Arabidopsis thaliana: one gene and its partner. The protein of the gene in region 2 interacts with the protein of the main gene of each other region in a pairwise test. Each region holds a gene or a part of one and is shown on either strand. Other genes may lie near its edges.

Region 1 (11,407 bases), on a different chromosome or scaffold from region 2:
CTCTTGTGCAGGTTATCGAAGCTCCTCTACCAAATGCACCTCCTGATGCATCTGTTTTCTCATTGGTTGGCAATTGATGGTATTCAACCTTCCATTCCACAGAATTCTCCTCTCCAAGGTATTTCTTTTGTCTTCTTTTGCATCACCTACTACTTCTCCTTCTAATCCCTCTTCCATGACAATTTGTAGCCATATCTGACCTTAAACGATCGGAATATAAGGACGATGGCTTGGCTGCTAGACAGGTGCTTTCTAAGGACCTTCAGGTTATTTTACTCCCTTCTTTTTTTGGGTCTTTACCTCGCTCTTTGAATGCTATATAATCCTTGCTTGCTCTCGATGCAGATTTACTTTGACAAAGTCACGGAGTGGGCTTTGACTCAATCTGGCTCCACCCTCTTTAGACAAGCACTCGCCAGCTTGGAAATTGATCCTGGACTCCACCCATTAGTTCCCTTTTTCACTTCTTTCATCGCTGAAGAGGTTTGTCTTTGTAATCCAACACTTCTAGTCTTGACTTTTATTCTAACTTGACCACATTTTCACTACTTTTTTTGTGCTTGCAATTTCTCCAGATTGTCAAAAACATGGATAATTATCCAATCTTGTTGGCTTTGATGCGTCTTGCTAGAAGCCTCCTTCATAACCCTCATGTACATATTGAGCCATATGTAAGTTTTGTGCGCACACTTTTTTTTTGTTTTTTTTTGTTTCTCTTCTCCCTTCTCCTCCTTCTGTTGACTTTTAACTTGTTGTATTCTGTTCAGCTGCATCAGTTGATGCCGTCTATTATCACTTGCCTTATTGCCAAGCGCTTAGGAAGAAGGTCATCTGATAATCACTGGGACTTGAGAAACTTCACTGCCAGCACAGTTGCTTCAACGTGCAAAAGGTTAATGTTACATTCTTGCTTTGTGATTTCATGCATCTTATACAACCATATAACTTGCAATCACATTAGTGAACTTTTTACAGGTTTGGACACGTTTATCACAATTTGTTGCCACGTGTCACAAGATCACTGCTTCATACCTTTTTGGACCCAACCAAGGCACTCCCACAACACTATGGGGCAATTCAAGGGATGGTAGCCCTTGGGCTTAATATGGTACTTCCTCTTGATGCTTCTTGATTATCATAACGAAGAGTAGCACTTTAGGTTGTGCGTCTAGAATTTTTACATAAGAAAGCATAAGTTTAAAACTAATAGTAGCATGATCCGACATCCTCGATAAAGTTATTAAACCTGCAATTGAACCTTAAGATATATATCCTTTGGTCGTCCGTAAGTATTTTCTTGCTTTATACCTTTGTCTAGGTTCGCTTTCTTGTTCTCCCAAACCTAGGGCCGTATTTGCTGCTTCTTTTACCTGAAATGGGACTTGAGAAGCAGAAGGAAGAAGCTAAGAGGCATGGGGCTTGGCTTGTTTATGGAGCGTTGATGGTGAGTATGCTTTCTAGTTTGATACAGAAATTAGAAAACTTGTTTGCTTTCAATCTCGTGTTGCAAAACAGGCAGGAGAGCATATAAACTTTAACTTTCCATAGGTGGCAGCTGGTCGATGCCTATATGAACGGCTTAAAACATCTGAGACACTGCTGTCTCCTCCAACTAGCTCTGTCTGGAAGACAAATGGAAAGCTCACCAGCCCCAGGCAAAGTATAAAATCTGGTCTCATTCTTTTTTTTTCTTTTGGCGTTCTAAACACGGAGATACGCGTTCTTAAATAATTTTTTTCTTCGGCCAAGGTAAACGCAAAGCAAGCAGTGACAACTTAACTCATCAACCACCACTGAAGAAGATAGCAGTAGGGGGAATTATACAAATGAGCTCCACACAAATGCAGATGCGCGGAACCACAACAGTCCCTCAACAGTCCCACACAGATGCAGATGCACGGCACCACAATAGTCCCTCAACAATTGCTCCGAAGACTTCAGCTGCTGCAGGCACTGACGTCGACAACTATCTCTTTCCTCTTTTTGAGTATTTTGGTGAGAGCATGCTTATGTTCACCCCCACACATGAGCTCAGTTTCTTCTTGTAATAGATTATTGACATGGTAATTGTATGTACCACAATAAATACATCTATATAATATTTCGAAATGTCTTGGAAATCGTCAACTTTATAGTGGGCATTTTGCGAGAGGTAAAATCAACCAGTGTTAATCTTACATAGACATATGTGTACTCTAATTATAGCTTGGCCTGGACCACAAATACACATCTTTTCCATGCTACTCCCCATCTCCATCTCCATCTCCACTATTAGTTGTGAAGAACGGAGTCAGAAAGTTTTTGTCCAACGCGGTGAATGATGTAGTGCTGCAAAGTTTTGTCAAGTGAGTCCCAAAAAATTGCAAATATCGCTTTTTACTCAGGAAAACATACTAAGCCATTCTCTTATTCTTACGTTTTGTGAAACTCCTTCAGCTTCATCTTGAACCTGCTTCCTGATGATGATGTATCCTCGTCAGATGAAGCTCCAATGCTAAAAGGAGGAGGGACATACTGATGATCGCTCTCTTCAAAGCCCTAACCACGTATCTGGGAGCGTTAGAAAAAGTACATACACAACTTTACTTCAAAGATATTAGAGTAGATCGTCGAGAGTTTACTTCAGACATGGAGTCATCAAGATCGTCACCTACAACTTCCAAAGCTTCCAACATTTTACCTGTCGAACCTCCTATTAGTAAAACCTGAAATATTACTGCAATGGATAAGAAACGCAGCCTATGTATTATTCTCCAACTCTCGCTGATTCTTATGTATACTACCACTGGAAATAACATAGATGCTTTTCATGGAGAGAATACGAAAGTTACCGTGACAACAACAATAGTTGTGGTTGCAGTAAAGATGATTTGGCCGTGACCCTCTGGTAGATCATGAAGTGATTGAAGTGCAAGTGCAAATGCCATTGCCCCTCGAAGTCCTATCGATGTGCCAATATGTGTACAAGTTTTAATAGTTTGTAGATATAAAAATGGGCATCAGGAGACAAGAACAAAAGCTATTAGCTCAACTCACCACTATACCAAAGGGCTTTTTGGTGCTTCATAGGTATCTTCTGGTTCTCCTGTCTAAATAGGTTGACCAAATATGCACACCCAAATACATTGACAGCCCTGCGTGAGAAAAGCATTGCAGAACATATAGGTAAATCCGAATCGAAAACCATGGTGATAATGAAGCGATCAGCCAGGATAAAAAAGCATTTAGTCACCTAGCCACGCCAATAAACAACTGATGTCAGTCATGAAACGCAGAAGCAAAAGGTAAAGTCAAGGATTTACAACACTGACTAACACTGCATACAATCACTGACGATCAGTAAATGAGGATACAATAGAGAAAAGGATAAACCCAACATGGGACCAGCTATGCTGCTCCATGGCAATATCAAATCCCATGTAAATGAACCTAGAAAAGCATTAAACAAATCAATATCAATCTAATAGAACTTTAAGCGTAGAAATTGTTATCCAACAATGGATGTTATTGCTCTGGACTCACGTGAAAGTTTCTGCTAGCGAAGATATCAAGTGAAAAAAAGAAGATACGAAACTCTGTGAAGCTTCTGAGAGATTTGAGAAAGTGTAGCGCTTCATAACCTACAGTAGCACTATATTAGGCAGCCTAAATATGTCTTTCCAAGATATTAACATCAACTAAGATGTAAAAGCTACAATGACTCGGCGATTACAATTCCTGTGAAGAGTATAGAAACAATGCCGGAGAGACCAACACCTTCTGCAAGCATGTATCTTACAGAATAACCAGAATACATTAGGGGGAAGAAGTGTTGTCATAAATACGAAGAGACAGGAGGAGAGTTGTTTTGTCTACTTACGAAAAATACGGGAAAAGTACAAAGAGACAACACTCCAAGTTCTGAAGACTGAGGTAGAGAAAAGAGAAAACAGAGACATTACATTTACAATATGTTCAGAGAGTATTAACAATGTAAATACAACAGTATAGAAAGAGTTAAGAAAAGATATGGCACTTACTTCTCGGTGTCCAATCCTGCATACTTAAAGAGGTGTTCTGAGTTAAGATTTTACAATACATTTTTGGCCATGTGACATCTAATAAGAAAAATAGAGGATTCGAGGAAGGATATTAAAGCTGAAGTGAATCCAACCCCAACCCCTGCAGAATAATATTAAGACTGTTAGTATGTTTAAGCAATATATGAAGTCGATGAAGGAATCGGTTAGAAGCTATTGGCAGAACTATTTATTCTGGGAGAAAAGAAAACGAAGAAAATAACAGGTCTTATATATATAGAAAAAAATCAGGTCTTATATATGTAGATGTATATGTGACTGTGAAGGACTTTAAAAGAAAAAGATTCCCTGATTCAAAGGGTAACTAATACGACCGTTTCAGTTCAAGTTAATTATTGCTTATTTTGGTTCTATGAATCTTCACAAAGAAACCTAGTCGACTAGTCTTTTGTTCATTGTTTAGATAATAGTGCGTCTAGTTTGGTAGGAGGGACTTTGATGAGACTAATATTGTTATAAAAACTGTGATGAAGGATCAAGAAGGAATAAGAGCAAACAGACCTGCAGACATTGAGCCAGCAAAAGTCTCAAAAAACCTGATCACCACCATGAAAAAATGTTCCCCAGACGAGGACTGGCGGTTTACTAAGGACATTGTTCTGCATCGAAAGTTTTTATATTGTACTTTAATACTTTGCTTAAAAGGTATCTAAAAGGAAAAGAATCATGTGATATACAGACCTGTACAATGATATTGCCATCTACGAGGCGCACCACATACACGAAAACCCATTTGATGGAGTTAGTGAGTGTTGTGGTTTTTCGTTTGCATATATACTTAAAAGGAAGAGCCCAATATCGCAGCAGATAATAAAAACTCACAGCATCATTCAGAACTGATTCTCCAAAGACCAAAGCATACAGGTTAACATCGGTGCCCACATCCTGCCATCAAATAAATGTTCATCACAATGCAAGGCATCATTTTAGGGAAAATACATGCGAATACTTGTATCCTGTGGAAACTGATAGTAAAAGGAAAAGCAGAAGCACCTGGAATATAGAGAGTACAGTGACAGGGTCCGTAGCTGATATAAGTGCACCAAACATAAGACACTCAACAAAGGGAAGTTTATACATGAGATACATAGAGCCGCCAAGATAACTGCAAAAAAGGCGGGAAAAACAGATAAGGTAGAAGCAAAACAAAGAAGCTAAGAAAGAAGAGGGTGATGATCCCTACACCAGACCACCAGTAACAACTGAAGCGACAAAAGTTCCGATGATAGCAAAGGTAACAATGGCTCCAAAGTTAGAAAAGAATGGTTTCTGCATCCATACAAAAATGATCTTAGCTACTGTTCAAGTCAGCTATTGTGGAAGAAAGAAAGATAAGCACTTACAGGTTGAAGACTGAAACCTGACTGGGTTCAAACAAATGAATGATGTCAAGGAAAATGACATCCATTATACATAGCATAGCAGCAGCGAATTTGAAGGATGAAATGCAGATATTGAAGCAAAGGATATAATATGATGGGAGGCAACAAAAACAAGAAGAAGAACTCTTCGTGGAAATTAAACCACGTCCTGATACAGAGTAGAAAGAACAAACCAGTGAGCGAGGAAACGATAAAAGGGAAAACTCAGGGATACTTGGAGGAGGGCAAAACCTAATGCTAGTCTCAGTATCGGAGATATTAGCAAGTATACCGACGATTAAACCTGAAAATTACGACGGAAGAAGAAGCTAGGGATAAGAGAAATCAAAGAGAGAGAGAGCAAAAGCCAAAGGAAGAGAGAAAGGATTATACCAATGAGAAGCGAACCGCTGGCTTCAGGAAGATAGTGGAATCGATGACGGCGGAGGACATGGCCGAGAACGAAGGAAAGCACGAGCATCATAATCTGAAGCAGTATACCAACGCCGGCCGCTTGCTGCTGCTTAACCTGGCCCTGAGGGTCGTGCTCCACCGGAGAAATCATCACTTCCTCCATTCAGATTTGAGATTGGACCACCCAACGACCTTGAGAGTTGAGACTTTGGGGAACAAGAGTCAAACCGCAAATACGCCGTCGTTTTATCGTCACCATGTCTCTCTGTGTGTTTAAGAGGATTTTTGAGTTTTTACTGGTACACGGATATGAATCACAGGACAACCAACATACAATGTAACATCTTGAAATCAATAGACGAGAGTGAAACCAATGTCCACCAAACTGAGCATTATACAACATTATTAGACCAGTAGATAATAACATAATCACAGTTAATTTTTCTTATAAGCAATAGCTTAAATAATGCATAGGTTCTTCAGGCCGGCTGCAGTATGTAGTAAGATTATCTACTTATTGGTCTGAATGCGTTAAACTAAATTAATCTAATAATTACATGTCTTTTAAGTACTAGTATTTTCTTGGATGAGTAATTCAAACTGCTATTTTTTCTGTCATCAGTAATTCAAATTGGTTATCATCTAAATTATAAAACAAAATATTTCTGTTATGATAAAATATGATTATCTATTAAATTATTAATAATTAAGATAGAACTAACATACTCGTACAAACTAATTCTGTAACCAAAAATATTAAAATTCGCAAATATTATTTGAAACATCTGTTTATAAAAGTAATTTCATATTACCATGTCAAAAACAAAAAGAACATTGTTTTGGGAACTGCAAAATTACATATGTTTCGAAGTATATTACATATGTATTACATGTTTTTCTTTATTCTTTTTTTCTTTGTAACAATAATATCAAAGATTGCATCCAAACGTAGTATCTGACTACTATTTGGTGCAATATCCAAACGAAGAAGAAACAAAGAGCACTTAAACTGAATTGTAACAAATTGAAACCACTACAGCAACGTAGTTCTTGTAATTTCCTTCAACAATGACAATGATAGAACTCGGTATGATAAGAAGACTCTATCTAGCCGATCCACGGAAGTTGTGAAGATCTCAATAACCTCAACAAGATCCCAAAAAAAAAGAGCTTACTTCGCACAAATACGATGATTCCGAACATCACAGATGACATAACAAAGGGGACACTACAAAAAATGGCATTAAAGCTCATGTAAGATTCAAAAGCACATATGAGAGAAAAGTAAGGGCATGTCATGTCCACTCTCTTCTTCACTTATTACTGTCCCATTTGGCCAAAGTATCTGCCGGCGATGGTGATGAGCATATTTGCCATGGTGATAACTTCTTCATCTCCAACCTCTAATGATGTCTCTGCACGAACACTAGCACACTTCCTCAGAAGACCCCTTAGACAAGCACAAGTATCGGCATCCAAAGGAGTCTCCAATGATGCACACAACGCTACTACCCATTTGCAATCGCTACTCTGTAAACCGCTCTCCTTCTCAACCAAACATATACGCTTTTTCAGCTTTGATACCCGCGTCACCGAGTCCATTCCTTGTATGTCTGTTACCACCTCACCAAAAGACTCATCCTCCTCTGTGTGGAGATGCTTATTGAACATCTCCACAAGCAAATCTTCTACACACTGACTTGATATTATCTCATCCTCACAGCTGTTGGCACTTTGTGTTAGAGTCTGTAAAAATAACAACACTTACTTTCATTTTCGTCTATTAAGAGAGAGACTGCTATTAACCAACCATGTAAGTCAGATGAAATATCAGGAAAAAATACCTGGCGAAGGTGTACAAAGTCCAAAAGCAACGAGTCCTCCCATTCCTTCATGGGTAACAGGTACTCTGGACATTTGGGGATTTCAGGAATTAGTGGCATATAAACACTTTGCTCTTTCTTTATGTACGTGCTTTCATCTATCTTGGCTACTCTTACATTCGGAATTCCCTTAGCCTCCCACCTAAATTGAGGAAACAAAACAACTTAACCATAATACCAAAAGTTTAAAAGTGTAAAGACACAGAAAGATGGAAACAGAGAGATAATATACCTGACTCGTCTTAAATATTCAAGCCCATCTTCTGGTGGTCCAGTACTAAAATCAGGTTCTCCATCTACTTCAAACGCAGGTCTCAAAATGCTATTGTAATCATCATTATCGTCAGTGTAGTCTTCAGGGTCCTCCGTTCCTTCTTCAGTCCCCAAATTTTCTTCTGAAGAAATAATCATACAAGGTAAGTAACAGGAACAAACAAAAGGATTTCTAAACACAACAGAAATGAGCGTGCATAGAAACAGAGAAGAAATAAGTCCATCAAAATACATAATAACTTTAAGGTTCTGAGTGTGAATGCACTATTTTTATTGAAAATGTATGAACATGTACAACTTTAGCCAAAGACTAATGGCCCTATATAATTTGAACCAAAAGAAACTCCTATGTCCTTTATAACCTGAACAAAACAATCTATATACAGAATGAATGTATGAGGTATTAGGCTGTTAGCTCATAGAAAAAAGAAAGAAAAAAAGGGACTTGTATTGTGTCTAAGAAACGAGAAAATTGGTGAAAAATGGACTTTGACAAATCTCTTCAGCTGACAGCTCAATGTACAAATATATTCACACAGTTACGTCTTGGTACAGCAGATATGGGACCTGTGGAAAAGAAAATAAGAGGCCCCTATCAAAACGACAAGTTATGTACTCGAACTGACGGAAGAATTAAAAATGAAGAACAGATCAAGAAACACGAAAAGAGCTCTCGAGCAGGAAAACAGACAGACATCCAAACCATGAAAAAGATGCTTAGCAACAAGAAACCATTGAAGTTGTTTAATAGGAAAAACCACTGCCGAAACTCACTGATACTAAAGCAGACTGGATTTGTATGTGATGACCCATTTGAGAAAGAAAACACCACAAAACCCGGAAAAGTGCAACATATTTACTCCTATTTCTTAGACCTATCTATCTAAATTTGATACACCTAAAGTTATTCTCAACCAACAACAAGAAAAACAAAACAGTCAGGTGAAGAATGCAAGGAATAAGAGACAAACAAAGCATCTGCGAGGTTATCGAGATTACCATTGCCACTCTCCGTTCGCCCACGAACACGATTAGACTTTGAACTCTTGTAATTCTTCACATAAACTAAACTTTCATACTCAGTCACCACCTCAGGTAGAATCCTAGAATACATCTCACTCCACAGGTTCTTCTGATTCACAATGTGGGCAAACCTCATTGACTCCAATTGTTTCCTAGTGTACAATCTCCTAAACTGCTTCCCATTGTTTTCTACTCCACTCCCCTCAATAACATTTCTCTTATCTCCAATTTTCTTAAGCTTTCTAGGTGTATCCTTCTCATTTTGAGCAGTCCCTGGTCTCTTAGGATGATGAACAACATCAACCAACGCAGTATGATCAACCAATTCAATCTTATCAACATCATTATCCATCGTCTCTTCGATCTTAGGCAACGTATCCACATCAACACTCTTCCTAAAGATTGACCCAAGTTCGATTTCAGCCAGCAATCTTCTCTTCTCTGCTTCCAATAGTCTCTGAGCTTCAGATTCTTGTTCCTTCTCCTCAAAATTCAAACTTTCTTCAAGGGCTCCATCAACTCGATATTGCTCACTTCCTTTAGAGAAGGATGATTCCTTTATCTCTTGCAGATCCCTATTGTTTACAGAGACGGCTCCATCTTCCATAGTTATTGCATCGTTTTGCGAGGAAGAAGCTTGTGGATCTATCTCAGAGTTCAGTTGCTTCTTAAAGTCGCTCTCTTTTTCTAATCCATCCCCAGAAATTGAGGTTTTCGCCGGAGTACAGTGGTCGGAATCGGAGTTTGTCATCATGAGGCGGATGTGCGCAAAACCCTTAACGAGTGAATAAATTGTTCCTTTTCTCGAAGCTAATAAATTGCTCGAACCGGTTTGATTAAACCGGAAAAAATTATCAACCTTGAACCGGTTCTATGTATAAATATAGCCAATGTGTTCTCATCCCGGATTATACCGGATCCGCATATCTGCTAATTCCACACACCATTCTCTTTTGAAGCCTTTTGTACTAACATCGTTTATATTCTTAACATTTCCATACAAAACAAAATGAGAACAACAAGTAGAAGAAGATTCTACTACATCTTGTATCAAGTTCATTACAAACAACTAACACGTAATTAAATAGCTAAACTACTCTCTCTGCTACACTACGATTAAACTTAACACCAATAAGAGGTGAATCATGTAGGGACAGTGTAGTAACCAACATCATCATCTTGATTCACCATCAATATCACAGTTGCGAAGAGAGCCACCACAACAAAAGATATCGCAATAACGAGTTTGGCATAGCTCATCTTCTTCTTCTTCTTCTTACCGGTTATCATCTGTGTTTGAGCTGTGTCTTCACTAACTGTGATAGTTGATGACATTGTTTCCACCATGGTTGGAAATTGCTTTCTGAGTTTAGGATTCTTGCGAGATCCTATGGTTTTCTCTCTCTCGCCTCTCAGTATTGGACTTTGGATGTCTGAATGATCTAAATCAACATCATCAGGATATTGAAGAGAGCTGATTAGCTTCCGTGGAGTGCTGAAGATGTTGAAATCTTCAGCATTGATGCGACGTGAACGCTGTCTCTGTGTATCAGAAAAGTCAGAAATGTTTAACATAAATGAAACTAACAAACATACAACAAAGATGGATTGATGTTCACCTGAGGACTAGGAGTGGTGTTTCTCAAACTTTCCATTAGAAACCCTTCAAATTCATCTCCATTTTCACAAGTATCATACGGTACAAGAGGTGAATCAGAGACAGTGGTGCTTCCTTTAGTTACACGGGAGAAAAGACCATCCTTTAAAGAGATATCAACCACTCCTCCATTCTCATCACGTCTCCAAAGTTTGCGGTTCACACTCCTCCGATCAAATTCAGAGTTACAAGAAGTATGAGAAATAGGCGAGGACTCAACCGGAGAATCATACCCGCTAAAAGAGCCTAGAGTCTGTGATTCAGGTGATAAGGAGTAATCAGGAACAATGGACGAACAGTTTCTTCGACTGAAATTCGAACCAGTAACAGAACGACAACCTTTCTCCATCTTCGACTCGAGCTCTGCCGCTATTCTTTTTGAAGTCATCATTGCTTCATAAGCAGCTCCTCTAACATAAGCCATTTGGTCAGATTGACACCTCTCCATTTCTTTTATTATCAACTCAACTTCCGAGTATATGCTTCTCGGATCCAAGCACTTCATAAGGAAGTTCAACATTTGGACTGCTGATAATCGTTTCTGCGAGTTTCCTTCAGATACTCCAAATCCTAGAATTCGCAACCCCGTGTGTATCAGCAACCTTGCATAAGCTTCAACAATCAAAGGATTATGCTTGGCAAGTGACATAACCAAACCCATTTGAAGATGTGTTTGGTTGGAGTTTGAGTCCAACGCAACTACCACATTTTGACAAA
Region 2 (9,773 bases):
TATTATCTGGATATCCAAATTATTCACTAAAATTTTATAAATTATCTCAAATTCTTCTAAATTTGTAAATTACTCAAATTATCAAAATCACTAATACCCAAAATGAGAAGAAACATTTATTGCTTAAAAGTTAGATTCTTCCCACGTGGCCCGGTTTAGTTATAGTTGCCGACGATTAATTTCCGGTCACATTTTTAACGGCGTGAGTTTGTATGTGGCGTAAAACATGTCAAAATGCGATATTTTCGTAACGACGTTAACTTATACAAATACGACAAGACAAGGTTTTGGCAACGAGGCCAATCAGACCAGACTTGTGAGAACTGAGAACGATCGATCAAAAATCTCTCCCACGATAAAAATGAGGACCCTGAAGCTCATTGTACTTAACGTCTTCCCCTTTCCAGAAAAATCAACCAAACCCATTTCAGTTTCCCCGGAAAGTTTTTGTCTTTCAATCACCATTAGAATTCAGCTGCAACACAAGTGTTTGCAACAGAGAGAATCATGGAGAGAGCTATGGAAAGACAAAAGATATTGCTTCGTCATCTCAATCCAGTTTCTTCTTCTAATTCTTCTCTTAAACATGAACCTTCTCTTCTGTCTGTAAGTTTAGTTGTCTTAATCCGTGAGTCTTAATTAGACATTGAAATTGTTTGTGGAAGCTGATGATCTTTAACTCTGTTTTATTATGTGACTCACTTGTGTTTTTGTTAATTTTAGCCTGTGAATTGTGTTTCTGAAGTTTCCCCAATGGCTGCTTTTGGAGATGACATTGTGATTGTAGCGTAAGTATACTCATTGAGTTTGCTTCACTTTCACTTTCTTTAGTTTTCTTTGTTTCTTGATTCTTCTTCTTCTTCAGGGCATATCGTACCGCCATTTGCAAAGCGAGACGTGGAGGTTTCAAAGACACTCTTCCTGATGATCTTCTTGCTTCTGTTCTTAAGGTAAGTCATCAATTAAACCTTGTGCATGCATGGAGTAGTAGTATCAATGATTTCTTATGTTTCATGGTTTGTTCTGATTAGGCTGTAGTGGAAAGAACATCTTTGGATCCAAGTGAAGTTGGTGATATCGTTGTTGGTACCGTGATAGCGCCTGGTTCTCAGAGAGCAATGGAGTGTAGAGTTGCAGCTTATTTTGCTGGTTTTCCTGGTACTAAATCTCATTCAAGAATCAAGATAAACTTAATATCTCACAAGTTGTTGATATGTTTCTTCATCCTTCTCTTTTACGAGCTAGACTCCGTGCCAGTTAGAACTGTCAATAGACAATGCTCATCAGGACTACAAGCAGTTGCTGATGTTGCTGCTTCCATTAGAGCTGGTTATTACGACATTGGTAAGATGCTGCTGCATCAGTTTTTTGTAGTCTCTAGCTGCTTGTATAGGCCATGGGATTGATTCTCTCAACTTTGTGAATTGCATAGGTATTGGTGCTGGAGTGGAATCAATGTCAACTGATCATATTCCTGGAGGCGGCTTTCATGGCTCTAATCCAAGAGTAAGCTATCACAATGAGTGTATAAATTTACTCAACAAGAAGAGTTTTGTGATGATCTTGTAAACTCTACATGGGAATAGGCACAGGATTTCCCAAAAGCCCGTGATTGTTTGCTTCCAATGGGAATTACTTCTGAAAACGTTGCAGAAAGGTTCGGTGTCACAAGAGAAGAGCAAGATATGGCTGCGGTTAGTTAGTTATTCTCTTCACTTTTTTCCTCTCTAGTTCATATAAGTACTGATTCAGTAATAATCAGGTGGAGTCTCACAAACGCGCTGCAGCTGCAATCGCGTCTGGTAAACTCAAGGATGAAATCATTCCTGTTGCTACTAAGGTAAAACAAGAACCTCCCAAACTTCCTTTAAAGCCCTTTTGGTAGAGCTTTCTCAGTAAATGATATTGTTCTTGACAGATTGTGGACCCTGAGACTAAAGCAGAGAAGGCAATCGTCGTATCTGTTGATGACGGTGTACGTCCAAACTCAAACATGGCAGATTTGGCAAAGCTGAAGACTGTCTTTAAACAGAACGGTTCCACCACAGCTGGTTAGAAACAACTCTCTTAACTATCACTGGCATAAGTGAGATCATAGATTGAAGCATTTAAGTATATGTGTTTTGTGTAGGCAATGCTAGTCAGATCAGTGATGGTGCTGGAGCAGTACTGCTAATGAAGAGAAGTTTGGCTATGAAGAAGGGACTTCCCATTCTTGGAGTATTCAGGTAAAATGAATATACAACATTTTGCCAGTTCAAGAAACCGAGCAAATCTGATTCCGGAACAATGCAGGAGTTTTGCTGTTACTGGTGTGGAACCATCTGTAATGGGTATTGGTCCAGCTGTTGCCATTCCCGCTGCAACTAAGCTCGCAGGGCTCAACGTCAGCGATATTGATCTATTCGAGATCAATGAGGTAACAAAATATTTCACATTGGTTTTTTTCCTGTTTCGGAATAATACATACATATAAATCTTTATTGTTGCATTGTTAAACAGGCATTTGCATCTCAGTATGTGTACTCTTGCAAGAAGTTAGAGCTGGATATGGAAAAGGTCAATGTTAATGGAGGAGCCATTGCTATTGGCCATCCCCTGGGTGCTACAGGTTACTACTTACCAAGCTTGTCGTAACTAAATAAAATGCAACATTTGTTACAGGCTAATAGAGTTCTTTTCTATATGTTCAGGAGCTCGATGTGTTGCGACATTGTTGCACGAGATGAAGCGGAGAGGAAAAGATTGCCGCTTTGGAGTAATCTCAATGTGCATAGGTATATATATAAGATTTTTTTTCAGATTGAATTGGATCAATGATTACCTATGTTAATGGTATATGTAAAATGCGAACGTCACAGGCACTGGAATGGGAGCTGCAGCTGTTTTTGAGAGGGGAGACTCTGTTGATAACTTGTCCAACGCTCGTGTGGCTAACGGGGATAGTCATTAGAACATCGAAGAGAGCTTGAATAAGTAGAAGTAATGATGCATTGAGTCTAATAAATATGATGCTTTAGCTCTTTCACATTGCTGAACAATGAAAACTTTTGTCATTCTGAGTTTAAAATCAACTACTTTTCTCTGAACAAAGTGTTAAATCTAAAACCAAAAGTTACATCCTTCCTCACACAAGTCTGAAAACACCAATCAAATCTCGCAAATCTCATTCTCCATCTTCGGGAGACCCACCTGGCACCAGCTGCATCACAAACATTTTCAACACCAGTTTCTTAGCAATTTGACTATTCAAATGACCAACTGTTTATATCAAGATACTTGAAAATTCATCACAAGGAAGTTTATACAACGTATGGCTATGAGTAACCACAAGTGTTTTTTTACTTACAATGGCGATGTTGTTGCCATTGAGTAGAATCTGATCAAGCTTTGTGACCCGTCTTCCTTCTGCCGTAATCTCACTACACAACGATGCTTAGATAAATTAGTAACACACTCTAGTTACAATTCAATCAAGAATTTGTTACAATCAAAACTTGAATCTATGAGATCCTAACTCCAAAGCAACACGGGTTTAAGCATCAATTAACTAATCCTCACACAACCACAAACAACTCAAGTCACCGAAACCACATATGACCCCGCTGAAATAGACTCTATGCATACACAATAAATGTCATTAATCAGCAAATGAATGAACTGTGATGGACATTCACAAATCAGTATTGAGATCAATTACCCAAAAACAAAATCCAAAAGGCTAAGTTCTGCATAATCACATCCATGGTTCAATGTCTATGATTCACCTCCTAAAGTGTAATAGATCAAGCAACATTCCAATTAAACAAGATATGAAGCAATAATCGAAACCCTAAAATCAGACTTACTATTCGGTGACATCTTCAAGAACCATGTTGACATAAACATCGAATCCTTTGAGAATACCAACGAGCTCCTTATCTCCTTTCATTATCACCCAAATCTTAGACCCTATACACCTATCGATTAGCTCTGCACAAACAAACCAAATCGCTCAAAAATTGAAAACCAAAAAATCGCAGATCTAGTTCGATTTTCTTACATATAAGAAGGTGGAAAGTGAGAGATGTGAAGAAAAAATTGCATACCTGAAGGAAGAAGCTGTGAAGGATTGTTCGCCATGACGAAGAACAGTGAGGCAAGTGAAGGGTTTTTGAATTTTCTCTGATTTTTCTTGCTCCGAAGCTTTTTCTGATTTTTCGATTTTTAGGGTATTAATGTTTTACTTTTAGGAAATTTACAAGAGAACCCTCAAACTATCTTTTTGTTTCAAGATTGACTTTTAACTATGGAAAACTTAATATATAAACCTTCAATCTAATTAGAATATTAAGGATAAATAATCACGTCTCAAATCCCTACATTACTAGTACGGAAGTACCTTTCAAATAGTAATATTGGCTTTTGTAAGATATTATGTTACAATGTCATTGGAAAAAACTGTAACCACCTAATTCACTTTACTTTAGTTATAAGGTCAATTTACTTTCGAATTTAATTATGCTAATCTTGAATCATGGATCCATTATACGGATCTATGAAATTTTCTTGTTTCTTCCAAACATAGGTCTACTGAGATTTTATTATTTCTTTGAACGATTGATCTGTAGTAGAGTTATCAAAATGGACGAGTGGCCCGTGTCCAACGCCTAATGGACCGGGCATGGACAAGCCCATTATGAAGCAGGCATTAATGGACATGGGCGTTAACGGACATGGGCATCAGCGGACTGGACGTGATGGACATGGGCGGCCCAATGGTCAAAAAATATTAGGTTTAAGTGTTCGGGCAAAAATAAATTTGGGGAAAAAACATTTCCCCGACGCTTATTTGGCGATTTCTTCTTTCCGGCGATTTCTCCGGCGAGTTCCTTCAACATCTCAACTCCATCACATCATGGATCCTCCTGAGATTCCTAATCCAGTTCAAGTAAGCAAATTCTCGTCATTTTTACTCAATTCGATCTGGGTTTTTGATTACTCAATTCGAAATGATTTTTTGTTACTGTTTTTTGCTTATTGAGAGTGATTTTGACATGGGTCTCTTTCGATTTCTGTTACTATTGTTTGATATAGTGTTCATTGTCTGCATTATGCATAGTATGAACTATGAAGCTTGGTCCTTTGACACCGTGTATTCATGAAACTGCAAATATCAAAAGCTTAGCTCACTAATATGAGTTACTTAAACAGAAAAAAGAATTGGTAGTAAGCACAAAATGGAATTCTACACATCTAATGCTCTCTAGAGCGATTATTTACAAAGAAACATTCAAGCATCTTGCTGAAGCAAATACTATTGTGTTAAAATTTGGTTTTGTTATGCCTATTGGACAACCCATTTGGACATGGACATTAATGGGCACGGGCGTTAATGGACATGTGCCTTAGTGGACATGAACACTATTTGTCCAATATCGAAATGGACATTATTGGACTGGGCTAATGGACATGGACAGCCCGCTGTGACAGCTCTAATCTGTAGCAATCCATGTGCAAAGCTACATCCAAGATTAGCAAAATTAATTGTTAAATACACATTACCAGAAGAATTGAAAAGAAAGTATATAGTTAAGATACCATTTGTATCATTAGATATTCAATCTCGTTGTTGTAGTCATATACTTGGAAGCTTAGAGGATCGAAAAACAAGGTGCAACACATGTTAATGAGGATAGGAACTTATCAAAGATCCTTGCAAGAAGGTATGGAAGTCGTGCTTTACATTATTTCTATAAAGAACAATGTCCATATCTTCTCAGCTACGAGGTATCCGAGAGTAAGGCGAATAAGAAAACATGTTTCAACCAAATCAAGAAACATTTTTCCAGTCAAATTCAAATCAAGAACTCTGTTTTCAGCCAAATCTAAATCATGATCATGTTTTTGTTTTGTGTAGAGAAGACGTTAGGCGTAAGAACACACAAAAACATTAGCATGAAATTATGTGATGTAGTCAGGACCGGCTCAAACATTTTGTAGATCCAGTGCTATTATGTAATCATATCATGTTTTTTTTTTTTTGGACCCTAGACCATATGTCCTAGCACCTTAAGCACATGTGCTAAGCCGGCACTAGATGTAGTTGTAATATTTTATATAAAAAATGTAACATTTTTTTAATCTTCTATGCTTTTTAGTTAACTCAAAATAATCTAACATACCCGTAATTTTTGAAAACAAAAAAAGAATTGTTCAGCATACTTTTGAATGAGTAACCAAAACTCATGCATGATATCACATATGTTTAATAGTGGGCCATATAGACTGCTTCACAAACACCACTTTTAAGTCTTTAGCAAGCTTTCTCCGTTATTATCTTCACGATTGTGTACCCAAAATTGATATGATTCATAAAATGTTGTTGACTTGTTGAGTTCATAAATTCAACCCAAAAGTAAATGAAGAACAATGGACAACAAAAAGAAAGTAATTGTGGAAGATAATTGGTTAAATTAATTCAAATGTCGGTTCTTGCCTTCTTGGTATAGAGGGATTATTCAACTAGTTAGGATCGATTTCAAAATTTATGGAGATAGAAACAATGACAGTTTATATATGTATGTTCTCAAGACAATATTCTATTAAGACCGGCTTTGCACCTAAACAGAATAAATAGATGTAATACGAAATAAATCGAACGAGTGATTTATATGCAAGCATGAACCCATACTCTAAGGAATGAATTAATCAATGGTTCTTATTTTTAATCATGTTAGTTAGATGCAAACCAAATCAATCTTGAATAATGCTGATAAACCGTCTTAATTCATGCGATGTCTCCACTAGTCTCGGATTTCTATAAAATATTCAATATTGACTTATAGCTAAGTCTCAAGTCCGTAGAATTATTGTATATTTTTGTATTCCCCGAAAACACTATTTGCCTTATTGCTTTGTGGTCCAAAATGTTTATCAGTGAGCGGCAAGTCTTGTAAACTAGTGAATAATGCCTCGCAAATTGTCCAGATTCATTGTGTTTTGGCTTATTATTGTATATGCCACAAAACGACTGAGAGTGACGATGATTCGCTACGTTTTTTTTTCTATAATAAAGTTTATAATTATTGATGTGGTTACCACTTAGATATTAAAATCAATTATATCCTTTTCAATGATTCTAATGACGATTGGATAATTAAATTTAGATAATGCTTTTTTGTTTGCTACTTTTTTCTTTTGTAATGAAGATTGAAATGCTTTGCACTAGTTGGGATCGAATCTGCTTATAGTATAGTACTTATATTCCCACAGTACATCCCCGACTTCTTTTTAATGGTATTTGCAACTGATCATGTGTACAAGAATGGACTGATTAATCTCTGAAACATGAATTATAATTTAAGCTAAGAAAAGTAAAGAAAGTACCTAAAATAGATAGTAAAACCTTATAAACATAAATCTAGATACTACTTTAACTGATAAACTTTTTTCTGTGAGGCCATTTTTTCTAATGGATACTAAAATTTATTATGTGCAATTGAATAAAATCTGAATATCACTACAAAAGAAAAAAAAAATGAACAATGGATTGACTAGTAAAACATTTGAATGATTAGTTATTCACTATATATGTAAAGGATGATGTTTGTGATGGTACTATCCAAATTGACAAAAAAAAAAAATCAAAGATATTTCGTCCAAAATAAATTTATGCGACGAGCTGACCTAAGTAATGACTTGTGGTCCGAATCCTTTTCTGTATAGTGTCTTCTGCTAATTATAGGCAAAGAGCTGATATACGCTTCTCTTTGTCTCTCTTGCGATTTCTCCTTTTTATCTTTTCGAATCTATCAGGTTGGGCCAAACTAAAATGGACCGAGCTAAAATATTACTAGACTAAGCCACTGTTATGTTGAGTTGAACCATCTTTATTTGGGTCGAGCCGTTGTCTTAATGGGCCGATGTTCTAATGGACCGTTTTACCATATTAGCAGCTTGTTTGACTTAGTTAATCTTTGTTTGGCCGAATTAGGCATGGAAAACAAAACAAGTATTACATACTAACTATCACAAAACATATCGTAAAAAAGATTATATATTTTTTCATGCAGATTTTTACTATAAAATTTAAAATTAAATGTAATGTATTAATTATAATTAAACTACAATAAATAGAAGTTAAAACAAATATTAGAAAAACTGAAAAGTATTGACTTAAAAATAATATTGTCATTTAATTTGTTCGTCAGATACTCAGATCTTGAGCCATCATGGGCTGTTGAATCTTGAGCCACCTTGAGTTTCTAAAGCTGGTTGTGGCACCATGTGATCCACCTCCCCATGATGTCATTGGAAGCAATTCGCAATCATAAAATGGTATTATTGTCTAGTTTACCATTTTTTGATATTTTGTTTTAAAAATGTCATTTTTACTAAAATTTTACGTATTTATTATTTTTAATATTTAAAAATATACGTATGTACGATATTTTTTTCGCAAAATACATATTGTATATTAAATACTAAATTTTAAAAATAAATAGAACTGACTAAATCCAAATATAAAAGGTAAAATGCATGTTAAATCATAATTTTATTATTTAAAAATGGTAAAAACCACAAATTATTCAAAAATACATAAGCTATAGTTGATTCTTGTCCAAATTTGTGTACGAATTTGCAAACTCGAAAATTCATATACACATAACAACAAAATCCTTAAACTTGTAAATGAATATAATTGACCGTTTTTCACACCATTAAATCGATAAGTCTAAAAACCTTTAGCTGAAACCGAATTACGCTAAAATATTTGACCGAGTAGTCAAGTCGGAAATGGGCACAAGACCATCGAAAGATCTTCTTTTACACACCGTAATAGTGAATACTTACATGCAACATAAATTATTTGACGGTTAAACCCAAATTAATACTCCATAAAAAGACACAAAATATGTAGAAAAAGACAAAAAGCAATGGTAATTGTAAAACAACACGTTTTGCTCGTTCACCTACGTGGTAAGAAGTCACCAAGTGATGTGGCAGTATAATTTTAAGCTGAAACCGAATTTGCTTAAATTTAACCGAGTAGTCAACTCGGAATAAATGGGTACAAGAACAGTTCTTTTTTTATACACCGTAACAGTCAATATATATACATCTTTTAATGGTTAAAAACCTAATTAAAACTCCGTACAAAAGACACCAAAAATGTAGAAAAAGACAAAGGCAATGGTAAAACAACACGTTTTGCTCGTTCACCTACGTGGTAAGAAGTCTCCAAATGACATGGCAGTATAATTCTTAGCTGAAACCGAATTTCGCTAAAATTTGACGGAGTAGTCAAGTCGGCATTAATGGGTACAAGAAGATCGAAAGTTCTTTTTTTTTACACCGTAATAGTCAATATATACATGTTTTGCTCGTTCACCTTTGTGGTAAGAAGTCTCCAAGTGACGTAGCAGTATAAGTTTTAGCTAAAACCGAATTTCACTAAAATATGTAACCGAGTAGTCAAGTCAGAATTGATGGGTACAAGAACATCGAAAGAACCGTAATAGTCAATCTATACCTGCAACATAAAAAATATAGAATCTTTAGACAGTTAAAGACCTAATTAATACTCCGTAAAAGACACCAAAAATGTAGAAAAGACAAAAGGCAATGGTAAAACAACACGTTTTGCTCGTTCACCTATACGTGGTAAGAAGTCTCCAAGTGACGTGGCAGCTTCTATGAACAGAGACGAAATATTGTCCAAATTCATTTCTTACAGTAACAAACGTACGCATATTTAAGATCTAGTGCAGAGGTTGTCTTTCCCAGCCTGT

What was found.
Region 1: the proteins of SAD1 (region 2) and AT1G54380 interact in a two-hybrid assay, tested with the Arabidopsis thaliana proteins (one large-scale study listed by BioGRID).

Annotation. Positions count from the first base shown.
Region 1 is NC_003070.9:20,291,113-20,302,519, forward strand, and holds AT1G54380 (spliceosome protein-like protein), read right to left. Parts: upstream 9,868-11,407; 5' UTR 9,788-9,867; coding exon 9,010-9,787; intron 8,133-9,009; coding exon 7,970-8,132; intron 7,880-7,969; coding exon 7,699-7,879; intron 7,601-7,698; coding exon 7,175-7,600; 3' UTR 6,693-7,174; downstream 1-6,692. Other genes in the region: TAF6B (TBP-ASSOCIATED FACTOR 6B), read left to right, coding at 12-118, 190-266, 346-483, 576-671, 768-892, 976-1,108, 1,319-1,444, 1,549-1,660 and 1 more; NHX5 (sodium hydrogen exchanger 5), read right to left, coding at 2,241-2,328, 2,417-2,538, 2,622-2,705, 2,832-2,941, 3,037-3,134, 3,233-3,252, 3,354-3,429, 3,523-3,620 and 13 more; AT1G54385 (ARM repeat superfamily protein), read right to left, coding at 10,177-10,575, 10,653-11,407.
Region 2 is NC_003076.8:19,807,756-19,817,528, reverse strand, and holds SAD1 (Small nuclear ribonucleoprotein family protein), read right to left. Parts: upstream 4,184-9,773; 5' UTR 4,123-4,183; coding exon 4,089-4,122; intron 3,973-4,088; coding exon 3,849-3,972; intron 3,423-3,848; coding exon 3,350-3,422; intron 3,203-3,349; coding exon 3,167-3,202; 3' UTR 2,975-3,166; downstream 1-2,974. Other genes in the region: KAT5 (peroxisomal 3-keto-acyl-CoA thiolase 2), read left to right, coding at 508-606, 724-788, 866-950, 1,032-1,158, 1,246-1,344, 1,433-1,506, 1,587-1,694, 1,763-1,840 and 6 more; AT5G48860 (uncharacterized protein), read left to right, coding at 4,664-4,930, 5,618-5,878. UniProt on the Arabidopsis thaliana protein: Component of LSM protein complexes, which are involved in RNA processing. Component of the cytoplasmic LSM1-LSM7 complex which is involved in mRNA degradation by promoting decapping and leading to accurate 5'-3' mRNA decay.